Linked DNA regions of Anolis sagrei. The protein of the gene in region 1 interacts with the protein of each later gene in a pairwise test. Links are inferred from orthologs where the notes say so. Each region holds a gene or a part of one and is shown in the gene's direction. Other genes may lie near its edges.

Region 1 (3,753 bases):
AAACTATGTCTGGATTTAAGTCGTTGACATGCTGGCTGATACCCAAACAGGGGATGAGCTGGAGATGTCTCTGCCTTGGTCCTTTCACTATTGGCTGCCACTTCCCGGCGGATGTCAGGTGGTGCGATACCGGCTAGACAATGTAATTTCTCCAGTGGTGTAGGGTGCAGACACCCCATGATAATGCGGCATGTCTCATTAAGAGCCACATCCACTGTTTTAGTGTGGTGAGATGTGTTCCACACTGGGCATGCATACTCAGCAGCGGAGTAGCACAGCGCAAGGGCAGATGTCTTCACTGTATCTGGTTGTGATCCCCAGGTTGTGCCAGTGCCCACTTTTTGCTTGATGTTCAGGCAGTGCTTCTTGTAGGTAAGAGCACGGTCCAGAGTGACTCCCAGGTATTTGGGTGCGCTGCAATGCTCCAGTGGGATTCCTTCCCAGGTGATCTTCAGAGCTCAGGATGCTTCTCTGTTCTTGAGATAAAAGGCACATGTCTGTGTTTTAGATGGCAATTCCCATGACTCCATAGCATTGAGCCTTTGCAGTTAAAGAGGAGTAAAATGCAATCATTCTGCAGTGTAGATGCACCCATAAAAAGTGAAAGAGAAGGCTGATTAGCTTATAAAACTGCAACTCCCATGATTCCATAGCACTGAGCCATGGCAGTTAAAAGTGGCATCCAAGTACAAGCCTGCTGCAGCGTAGAGCACCCAACTTCCCTTGCGCATGCGCGTTCCAGGAGCCAGGGCCTTTAGAACCTTCCTAAATCCTCAAGCCATTCCACGCTGGCCGTCAATCTTGAGCCTGGAGGGGGCGGAGCAAAGGGCGGGCTCTTGGAACGGAGGGAGCGCTGTCGTCATCGACGCGCGACCACGTCCAAGGGGGCGAGGTATGGCGAGGGTTGCCTTGGCGCTGAGCGGCTGTCATGGCGTCCACCGGGGAAGGGAGCTGCTCTGGTGAAGCCGAGGCCTCCGCCCGGGCGGGGAACTCCTCCGAAGAGGCGCTCCGAGAGATCCTGAGGGACTCCCTGCGTGTGCTGCTTCGGCTGGCAGAGGAGGTGAGTGGGCCGAGGGGAGCCGTGAGAGAACAGGCGGCGGAAAGGGGAACCGGGCTGGAAGTTGAGGTGGGGAAGGGGAGAAGCGGGCTTTGGTTGGCGAGGGAGTTTAACAGGCCCCATTCTAAAGGTGCCCCAGACCCTCTTTGCTTGATTTGCAAAATTCTGGCTAGTATTTCGAGTGCTTTTTTCCCACAATTTCACTGGATATCCCAGGCAGGGGCCAACTTGGGCCCTCCGGGTGTTTTGGACTTCAACTCCCACAATTCCTAACAGCCAGTAGGCTGTTAGGAATTGTGGGAGTTGAAGTCCAAAACACCCGGAGGGCCCAAGTTGGCCCCTGCCTGGGATATACACTGCCATATAATGCAGTTTGCGCATTACATTAAAGGACATCAACATTATAGAATGATTGCAGTGTGACACTACTTAAACCAATCATGGCTCAATGCTATGGAATCATGAGAGAAGTAGTTTCAAAGGTCTTCAGCCATCTCTGCCAAAGAGTGCTGTGACCTCATGAAATTACAACTCCCATCAAGCCAGGGCGGTTAAAGCGATGTCAAATGCATTAATTCTATAATGTAGATGGCCCCAAGGGCCTCCTGATGGTGCAGCAGTTTAACCACCAAGCTGCTGAACTCGCTGACCGAAAGCTTGCTGGTTTGAATATGGGGAGTGGGGTGAGCTCCTGTTGTTAGGCCCAGCTTCTGCCAACCTAGCAGTTCGAAAACATGCAAATGTGAGTAGATGAATAGGTACTGCTTTGGTGGGAAGGTAATGGCCTTCCTTGCAGTCATGCCGGCCACATGTCTTAGGAGGCATCTACAGACAGCATTTCTAAGCTCTTCGGATTAGAAATGGAGATGAGCACCACACCCCAGTCAGACACGACTAGACTTAATGTCAAGGGAAAATCTTTATCTTTACCTTTTTTGGATGGCCCCATTTGTACAGTTTCAAGCCAGTATTGAAGACACTGGTTTCAGCTGTGCTGATGCTTACATAGAAAATTTTGGAACCAATTTGAGGCCTGGATAGTGATTGCACAAACCACTGGTGCACATTAAGGGCTTTCTTTCACACACTTTTGCAGTAGCTTGTGGTCTGAGACTAGCCTCAAACTACATTAAATTGCCAGCATAGTTTGTTTTTCAAGGGTGGCTGTTGCCATGTGCATTCAAGCAATTTCTGGCCAAATGAGACTGTTAGGCAGTGATTCTCGACCTGTGGGTCCCCAGGTGTTTTGGCCTACAACTCCCAGAAATCCCAGCCAGTTTACCAGCTGTTATGATTTCTGGGAGTTGAAGGCCAAAACATCTGGGGACCCACAGTTTGAGATCCACTGCCCTATCACACAGTTTTCTTGACACAATTTGTTCAGGAGAGGTTTGTCCTTGTCTTCCTCTGAGTCAGAGAGTGTACGACTTGCCCATGGTTGTCCAGTGGGTTCATGACTATGTAAATTCAGAATTATCTTAATTCTAAGTTGCATCCTTCCTATCTTGCTCCATTCAATGGAGTTTTGAGCTCTAGTTTTGTGTATACATAAGAAATTACATCTGTCTCCCTGGACATACTTCATCATTTTGCAGAAGTGACCAGTCTTGCACCCTAACTGTGCTAGAAAGAAAACTCTGAAGTTTCACAAGGCATCTGATAGGAATAAGGAATGTGGATCATTGGAAGTAGAAATTGTACAAAAATGGGAAATACAAACCTTGTGATAAAAGCTTGAGTATCCCATTGTCTGAAATGCTTAGGACCAGAGGTGTTCTGTATTTCAGATTTTATCTGGAGTTTTCAATACTACCATATTCATAATGAGATATCTTGGAGATGAGATCCAAGTCTTAACACAAAATTCATTGTTGTTTTGTATATATCTTACACAAATAGTCTGAAAGTAATTTTATGTACCATATAAAAATGTTCTTGAAGCAAACGTTGGTGTATATTAAACCATCAAAGTCAGGGTGTCACTATATCAGCCATCCATGTGGACAGTTTGGGATTTTGGAATACTTCAGGTAGGGGATGCTCATCCTGTAAATGGTGTGAGGAAACTAATGTCAATAGGAATTTTCAGTGCAATAATTACATAACGTTTTACTCAGGAAATTACCATCTAAGAAATCAGATGGAATGCATAATAAATTGTAATATAGTAAAAGCAATCAGGAAATATAATTTAAAGTTAGACCAAGTAATTTCATGGAATAACTATGAAAATAATTTTAATCCAAGTTTATGCTCCCAATTCTGTTGGTAGAAAATAAAAAATCAATGCAATCTATGCAGGCTTTCAGGAATAAATCAATCAGACATATTGATCATGGGTGATTGAATCTCAGTGGGAAGAAAAAGAGGAGAACCAAGCATTTTTGGCCTAGAATAAAAAATGAAGCAGGAGAGGGACTGATGAAATTTTGTGAAGGCATCGGGCTTTTGTTGTTACAAAGACATTATTTAGGCATTTGAAAAGATTTATACATGTACATTATTGTATGACTAATACTGAATTAAAAATGTATAATTGGAAGGAGAAAATGGAGAGGCTCAATTCTTTCTCCAAAAACAATACTAGGAACAGATTGTGACACAGGCCATGAACTGCTAATATCAAAAATTAGAGAAAACGTAATAAAATGCATTAAATCAATTGTAATCTATATATATAAATCTGTTAGGTTGGT
Region 2 (3,753 bases), about 35 Mb from region 1:
CGTTTATCTTCCGAGCCCAATTTAAGGTGCAGGTGCTTACCTACAAAGCCCTGAACGGTTTGGGACCACCCTACCTGCGTGACCGCATCTCCGTCTACGAACCCACAAGTTCACTTTGGTCATCTGGAGAGGCCCTGCTCGTGATCCCGCCTGCGTCGCAAGCGCGCTTGGTGGGGACTTGAGACAGGGCCTTTTCTGTGGTGGCCCCCCGACTCTGGAACACCATCCCAAGAGATCTCAGACAGGCCCCTACACTGGCAGTCTTCAGAAAGAACTTGAAGACCTGGCTGTTCCGATGTGCCTTCTCAGATTAGGAACCTCCAATACCAAGTCCCAGAAGCACTTTAGTAGAACTAAGATTACTGCACACTGCACTCTGCACTTACTTATAATCCTACATACCTCCTGCCACATCAGCACTTTTAATCTTGCACCCATTACTCTGGCCCGGCCCAGTTTTATAGTGTCTTGATGTATTGTTTACTGTTTGTTGTTTATTCTGCTTAACTGTTTTTAATTTGCTTTAGGTATTGTATTGTTGTATTGTGTTTTGAGGCCTTGGCCTGTGTTAGCCGCATCGAGTCCTTCGGGAGATGCTAGTGGGGTACAAATAAAATTAATAATAATAATAATAATAATAATAATAATAATAATGATAATAAATAGCCCGAAAAAACCTACAACAACCCAGCAGCAAGAAAAGCTTCCCTTGTGCAATCCCGCTTCCTGGCCAGAGGAGGCGCGAGAGAGCCAGGTTGGGATGGAGAGAAAGAGCGGAGCGCCTCCCGCGGTGCATTGTGGGCCACGCGCGGCTGTGTACAGGAGCCGCAAAGGCTGCCGGGAAGAGCAGGAACAGCGAAGGAGGCGGCGAAGGAGGAGAAGGAGAAGAAGGAGGAGGAGGCGGCGGCGGGCCCGGCTGGAGGCAGTGACGGCGGGACCCTTCCGGCTCCAAGGGCGGACTCCCAGAGCGGCCTCTCCCGGGCCCAAGCCGCCGCCACCGCCGCGGGACGGAGGCAGCCCCTTCCTTCGGGCGGGAGACCTGGCTGCTCGGACGTGGAGGGGGCGGAGCGCCGGCCTGGGCCTCGTCTCCTCAGGAGCCCGCCCCGGACCCTCACCCACTCACTCCTCGGGCAGGGAAGAGGGCCGGGGAAGGAGGAGAGAGCGGGAGAGAGGAGGAGGAGAAGCCCCCGTGCCTCTTCCCCTTCGGACTCCCTGGCCTCCCTCATGCCCTCGCTTCAGCCGGAGAAAGAGGAACCGCTCTAAAGGCGGCCGAGAGGAGCCGGGAACGCGAAAGGAGGAAAGGACCCTCAGCTGCCTAGCAAGGGCCCCACAGGAGGAGTGCCTTCCCGCTTGGTTCATCGCCTCTGCTCATTTGTACCTCTTGTGTTTTTATAGTCCTGCCCTCATGACCTCAAGCGAGGAGTCTCTGTAACGTGTATTGTTTGTTCGCCATCGTTGGCCCAGAAGCACTGAAAAAACCACAACGCACTGGCTTTCTTCGCTTCTTTGTTGTTGTGTTTTTAAAAGAGTATATTTCTTTAAAAGACCTGTGGATCAGGATGAAATAGGAATCGAGCTGAAGTCTGCGCTCATCGTCTCCATTTGCGAACTGGACTATTTGCTGCTCCTGTTGAAGTATTTTTTTTTTTACCCCTCAGCAGGATTATTTATTGCCTTATGTGAATCTTTGTGGATGTTGTATAGCCTGGTTGGGTGGCTGCTCCACCCTTGGAAATATACTTGGAAATCGTTATGCAAAGTTCCTAAAGAGAGCTGATATTGCTGGAAAAAATACCTTGGCCTCCTAAAACCATTTCTTTTCCTCAAGCAAGGTAAAGGAAAGCAGTGGAAGTCTGTAGTAGTTCAAAGCAGATAATGTAGTTATTGAGAGGCCCCTTCCGTACAGCTGAATAAAATCCCACATTATCTGCTTTAAACTGGGATATAAGGCAGTGTGGGTTCAGGGCCTTTCCACACAACCCTATATCCCAGAATATATGCTTTGAACTGGGTTATCTGAGTACACACATGTAATGAGGGATTTTCTGCCTTGAAATTCTGGGGTATAGTGCTGTGTGGAAGGGCCCTCAGATAACCCACACACGCCCCCCTTCCACACAGCTGAATGAAATCCTACATTATCTGCTTTGAACTGAGATATATAGCAGTGTGGAATCAGGGCCCTTCCACACAGCCCTATATCCCAGAATATCAAGGCAGAAAATCTGCTTTGAACTCGGTTATCTGAGTCCACACACATATAATGTGGGATTTTGTGCCTTGGTATTCTGGGATATAGCGCTGTGTGGAAGGGCCCTCAAATAACCCACACGCCCCCCTTCCCACACAGCTGAATGAAATTCTACATTATCAGCTTTGAACTTGGATATATGGCTGTGGACTCAGATAACACAGTTCAAAGCCGATACTGTGGGTTATTCTGCCTTCCTATTCTGGGTTATATGGCTGTGTGGAAGGGCCCCCAGTTCAAAACAGATATTGTGGGATGTTCTGCCTTGATAGTCTGGGTTATATGGCTGTGTGGAAGGGCCCAGAACAATAACTTGAAATACATTCCACTCTCCATGTGTTGTGTAATAATGATATAATAATACAACTTTATTTATATCCCACCCCATCTCCCCAGAGGACTCTGAGTGGCTTAAACTCTTGTTTACTTGTTGCTGGTTGTTAAGAGTTAACTATAAAGTTCATTTTCATTACTATAGAATCATAAACATATGGGGAGTGGAATTTATCTCATGGAAGGTCCCTTGGCAAAATTGCTAGCTTATGTTTCATGGTGATCATCTAAAGAAGGATAAAGAACATTATTGGAATAGTTGGCTTTAATTGAACGTGGTTTGCTTTAATTAAAACACTCCCTATGTTTGGAAACTGAGATTTGTTCTGGTTGTTAAAAGAATTCTAGTGTTGTACTGAAATGTACAGATACATATACATTTACATTCAAGTTTAGAGACCTCTTCAATCACTGTAATTTTAAAAATCAACTATTTGTTTGCAAGGGCCTTGTTCAGTTCCTCTGATACTTTCCTGGAACAGTTTAAAGGGAGTACTAATACAACCACATTACTTTTTGATCTGCACTACTTTTTAATTAACTTACAATTCTCCACTTTTATTATTCTTCCTCTGATGCCATGTCCTCGAGGCCAAAAATTGTAGTGGTTTGAGTGTTGGACTATGATGCTGGAGATCAGGGTTTGAAACCCTGCTTGGCCATGGAAATTCATTGGTTGATTCAACCTCAGGAAGCCACATGATAAGTTTACCTTAGGCTCATCTTAGGTTGGAACCTACTTGAAGGTATAGATATGTACTACTGATCTAGTGTATATTATTCATTAATCCCAGCCCCATTCTCCCATGTTCTTCAGAACACTACATTATTAAGGACTACTAACTTTCTGCCAGTGTACTTTCTCAGCATGCCTTCTCATGCCTTCTTCTTTCAATAGCATGTAACAAAACATCATAGAGATTTTTATTCTCAAAACTGAAAATAATTTAGCTATTTAGGAATAATGTTTACATTTAGATATTATCAAAATTATATGAATAATTACATGTGACTATAACGCTTTGTAAACTATTATATTAAACCTTCCTCATCCTTTTTCCATTTATTGCAAGCTTTCCTGTAGTTAACTAAGTTGATATTCAGGAACACTTAGAGTGTAGTTTGACACCATATTAACTGCCAAGGCTCAAAGGTATGGAATTCTGGGA
Region 3 (3,753 bases), on another chromosome or scaffold:
TGTAGGTGAACTATAAATCCCAAGAACTACAACTCCCAAATGACAAAATCAGAAAGTTTTGAGTGAAGGCCATACATTGGGTTGTTAGGTGTCTTGTGTCCAAATTTGGTGTCAATTCGCCCAGTGGTTTTTGAGTTATGTTAATCTTACAAACGAACATTACATTTTTATTTATATAGAAGATTGTATTGTCGAAGGCTTTCATGGCCGGGATCACTGGGTTGTTATAGGTTTTTCTGGGCTATATGGCCATGTTCTGGAGGCAATTTTTCTCCTGACGTTTCGCCTGCATCTATGGCAAGCATCCTCAGAGGTAGTGGGGTCTGTTGGTAGTAGGAAAAATGGGTTTATATATCTGTGGAATGACCAGGGTAATGTTTCAGCTGATTATTATTATTATTATTAAACTTTATTTGTACAAGCATGTGGACAATTTCTGTTGAAATTGTCCACATGCTTGTGGATATCAAAGGCTTCTCTGTGTAGTCTGACATGGTGGTTGTGAGAGTGGTCCAGCACTTCTGTGTTCTCAAATAGCATCTCCCGAAGGATTCGATGTGGCTTACACAGGCCGAGGCCTCAACACACAACACAACAATACAATCTAAGCAAATCAAACAATTAAAAACAGAATAAAGCAAAATAAACAACAGGCACAATACACTAAACACAATAAAACTGGGCCGGGCCAGAGCAATGGGTACAAGATTAAAAGTGCTGATGTGACAGGAGGTGTATATAGGGCTTCCAGGGCAAGTGCGATGTGCGATGTGCAGCAATCATTGGTTCTGATAAAGTGCTTATGGGACTTGGTAGTGGAGATTTCCTAATCTGGGAAGGTGCATTGGAAAAGCCAGGTCTTCAAGTTCTTTCTGAAGACAGCCAATGTAGGAGCCTGTCTAAGGTCTTTGGGGAGGGTGTTCCAGAGTCGGGGGGGGCCACCACGGAAAAGGCCCTGTCCCGCGTCCCCACCAAGCGCGCTTGCGACGCTGGTGGGATCACGAGCACCTTGATTTGTATTCAATGGCCTGGAAGCGCCTGGGGGGAATCTCTTGTTGAGAGTGAATTGAAGTGCCTGATTGTATAGAGAAGATTATAGGTACATATAACTTGTAAGCTGCCGTGAGTCCCCTTCGGGGTGAGAAGGGCGGCGTATAAATGTCGAAAATAAAGAAATAAATGAGGCAAATAAATAAATAAATAGGAATGGAGGGAGTTGAGAGTCCAAAACAGCTGAAGAGAGGGCCCAAGTTTGCTCAGGCCTGGTGTAGAGGCGTCCAAAGAGGAGCTCTGAGGGTGAAAACCGTGGGGGCGGCCTACCTCCCTCCCTCCCAAGATGGCGGCGGCCCCTCCTCCTCCTTCTCCCTGGGGCGGGATGATGGCGCCTCCTCCTCCTCCTCTCTCTCTCCCTCTCCGGGCGGGGCAGCAGGACTTCCAGCAGTAGCAGCAGCCGTCGACGGAGCGAGAGGAGAGGAAAGGGAGCCGGGCAGGAGGGCGCCCATCGGCTTCTCCGTAAGCAACCTCTCGGCGCCGCTTTTTTTGGGGAGGGAAGAGGGAGTGAGGGAAGGAAGGAGAAACTTTGCCTCGCGCTCCTCCTCGGGGAACCCGCGGCCATGTTGGGATGGGATCCCGCCACTCGGGGGATCTCTTCCCGTGAGGAGGGGAGGGGAGAAAGGAGAAAGCGAGGCCCGGGGGGGGGGGGGGGAGGACGGGTCTCTCGGCTCCTTTCGTGCCCGTCGAGGGCCGGCTGCTTGGACGACAATTTGGCCGAACTCTTGCCCACTTCCGCGTGTGTTTCCCAAAGTGTGACAAACTGAGGAGGGAGGGAGGGAAACTCCTGGCCCTCAGGGGATGGATGCCCCCCCCCCCCCAAATAGGCACAGCCCCAGCAAGTAGGCATTCGGATAGTTGTGTGTATATATGTAATGTGTGTGTGTGTTGAAGAAAGGATTGCAAACTTCACTTTCACAATTTCTCTTGCCATTTTGCCACACCTTGCTTACTACTGGAAGTGTTATTTCTGTCAAAGTTGTGTACAAAACTGAAGAAAAGGGGATTCATTTACACATACACACATACAGAGAGAATCACACACACACATACAAATGCATCACTTTGCTTACTACTGGGAAGTTGTGTTCCTGTCAATGTTGTGTACAAAACTGAAGAAAAGGGGATTCATTTACACATACATACAGAGAGAGAATCACACACACGCAAATGAATCACTTTGCTTACTACTGGGAAGTTGTGTTCCTGTCAGAGTTGTGTACAAAACTGAAGGAAAGGGGATTCGTTTACACATACACACATACAGAGAGAATCACACACACACACAAATGCATCACTTTGCTTACTACTGGAAGCGTTATTCCTGTCAAGGTTGTGGACAAAACTGAAGAAAAGGGGATTCATTTACACATACACACAGAGAGAGAATCACACACACACACAAATGCATCACTTTGCTTACTACTGGAAGCATTATTCCTGTCAAGGTTGTGGACAAAACTGAAGAAAAGGGGATTCATTTACACATACACACAGAGAGAGAATCACACACACAAATGCATCACTTTGCTTACTACTGGGAAGTTGTGTTCCTGTCAAGGTTGTGTACAAAACATAAATAATGTCTCTGTTTATGTAGAATAAAGGATTGCAAACTTCACTTTTGCACTTTCCTTTGCCATTTTGCCACACTTTGCTTACTACTGGAAGCTTTATTCCTGTCAAAGTTGTGTACAAAACTGAAGAAAAGGGGATTCATTTACACATAGAGAGAATCACACACACACATACACACACACACACAAATGCATCACTTTGCTTACTATTGGGAAGTTGTATTCCTGTCAAAGTTGTGTACAAAACTGTAGAGAACGGGATTCGCATACTCACAAATATGCACAGTCACACACACACACACACACACATATACACACATACATGCATCATGCTTTGCTTACTATTGGGAAGCTTTATTCCTGTCAATGTTGTGTACAAAACTGAAGCGGAGATTCATATGTGTACATAAATAATGTCTCTGTGTTTGTGTGTATAATTTATAGATAGATAGATAGATAGATAGATAGATAGATAGATAGATAGATAGATAGAGAGGGAGAGAGAGAATAGAGGATTGCAAACTTCACTTTTGCACTTTCTTTTGCCATTTTGCCACACTTTGCTTACTACTGGAAGCTTTATTCCTGTCAAGGTTGTGTACAAAACTGAATACATACACACATATAGAGAGAATCACACACACACACACACACACACACAGAAATGAATCTTTTTGCTTACTACTGGAAGTGTTATTCCTGTCAAAATTGTGTACAAAACTGAAGAAAAGGGGATTCATTTACACATACACACATACAGAGAGAATCACACACACATGCATCACTTTGCTTACTACTGGGAAGTTGTGTTCCTGTCAGTGTTGTGTACAAAACTATAGAGAACGGATGCATTTACACACAAATATGCACAGTCTCTCCCATATATATATATATATATATATACACACACACACACACACACACACACACACACACACACACATGCATGCATCACGCTTTGCTTACTATTGGGAAGCTTTATTCCTGTCAGAGTTGTGTACAAAACTGAAGCGGAGATTCATATGTGTGCATATATAATGTCTGTGTTTGTGTGTATTATATATATATATATATATATATATATATTGAAGAAAGGATTGCAAACTTCACCTTTGCACTTTCTCTT

What was found. The genes of interacting proteins can lie anywhere in the genome.
Region 2: the proteins of MBIP (region 1) and PPFIA1 interact in binary tests that used the Homo sapiens proteins (3 or more experiments, as listed by UniProt). The two-hybrid records come from large-scale screens. The link is inferred for Anolis sagrei from reciprocal best matches to the Homo sapiens genes MBIP and PPFIA1.
Region 3: the proteins of MBIP (region 1) and PLEKHF2 interact in binary tests that used the Homo sapiens proteins (3 or more experiments, as listed by UniProt). The two-hybrid records come from large-scale screens. The link is inferred for Anolis sagrei from reciprocal best matches to the Homo sapiens genes MBIP and PLEKHF2.

Annotation. Positions count from the first base shown.
Region 1 is NC_090021.1:301,829,737-301,833,489, reverse strand, and holds the start of MBIP (MAP3K12-binding inhibitory protein 1), read left to right. Parts: upstream 1-845; 5' UTR 846-928; coding exon 929-1,060; intron 1,061-3,753. UniProt on the Homo sapiens protein: Inhibits the MAP3K12 activity to induce the activation of the JNK/SAPK pathway. Component of the ATAC complex, a complex with histone acetyltransferase activity on histones H3 and H4.
Region 2 is NC_090021.1:267,216,342-267,220,094, forward strand, and holds the start of PPFIA1 (liprin-alpha-1), read left to right. Parts: upstream 1-810; 5' UTR 811-1,832; intron 1,833-3,753. UniProt on the Homo sapiens protein: May regulate the disassembly of focal adhesions. May localize receptor-like tyrosine phosphatases type 2A at specific sites on the plasma membrane, possibly regulating their interaction with the extracellular environment and their association with substrates.
Region 3 is NC_090024.1:33,460,887-33,464,639, reverse strand, and holds the start of PLEKHF2 (pleckstrin homology domain-containing family F member 2), read left to right. Parts: upstream 1-1,388; 5' UTR 1,389-1,512; intron 1,513-3,753. UniProt on the Homo sapiens protein: May play a role in early endosome fusion upstream of RAB5, hence regulating receptor trafficking and fluid-phase transport. Enhances cellular sensitivity to TNF-induced apoptosis.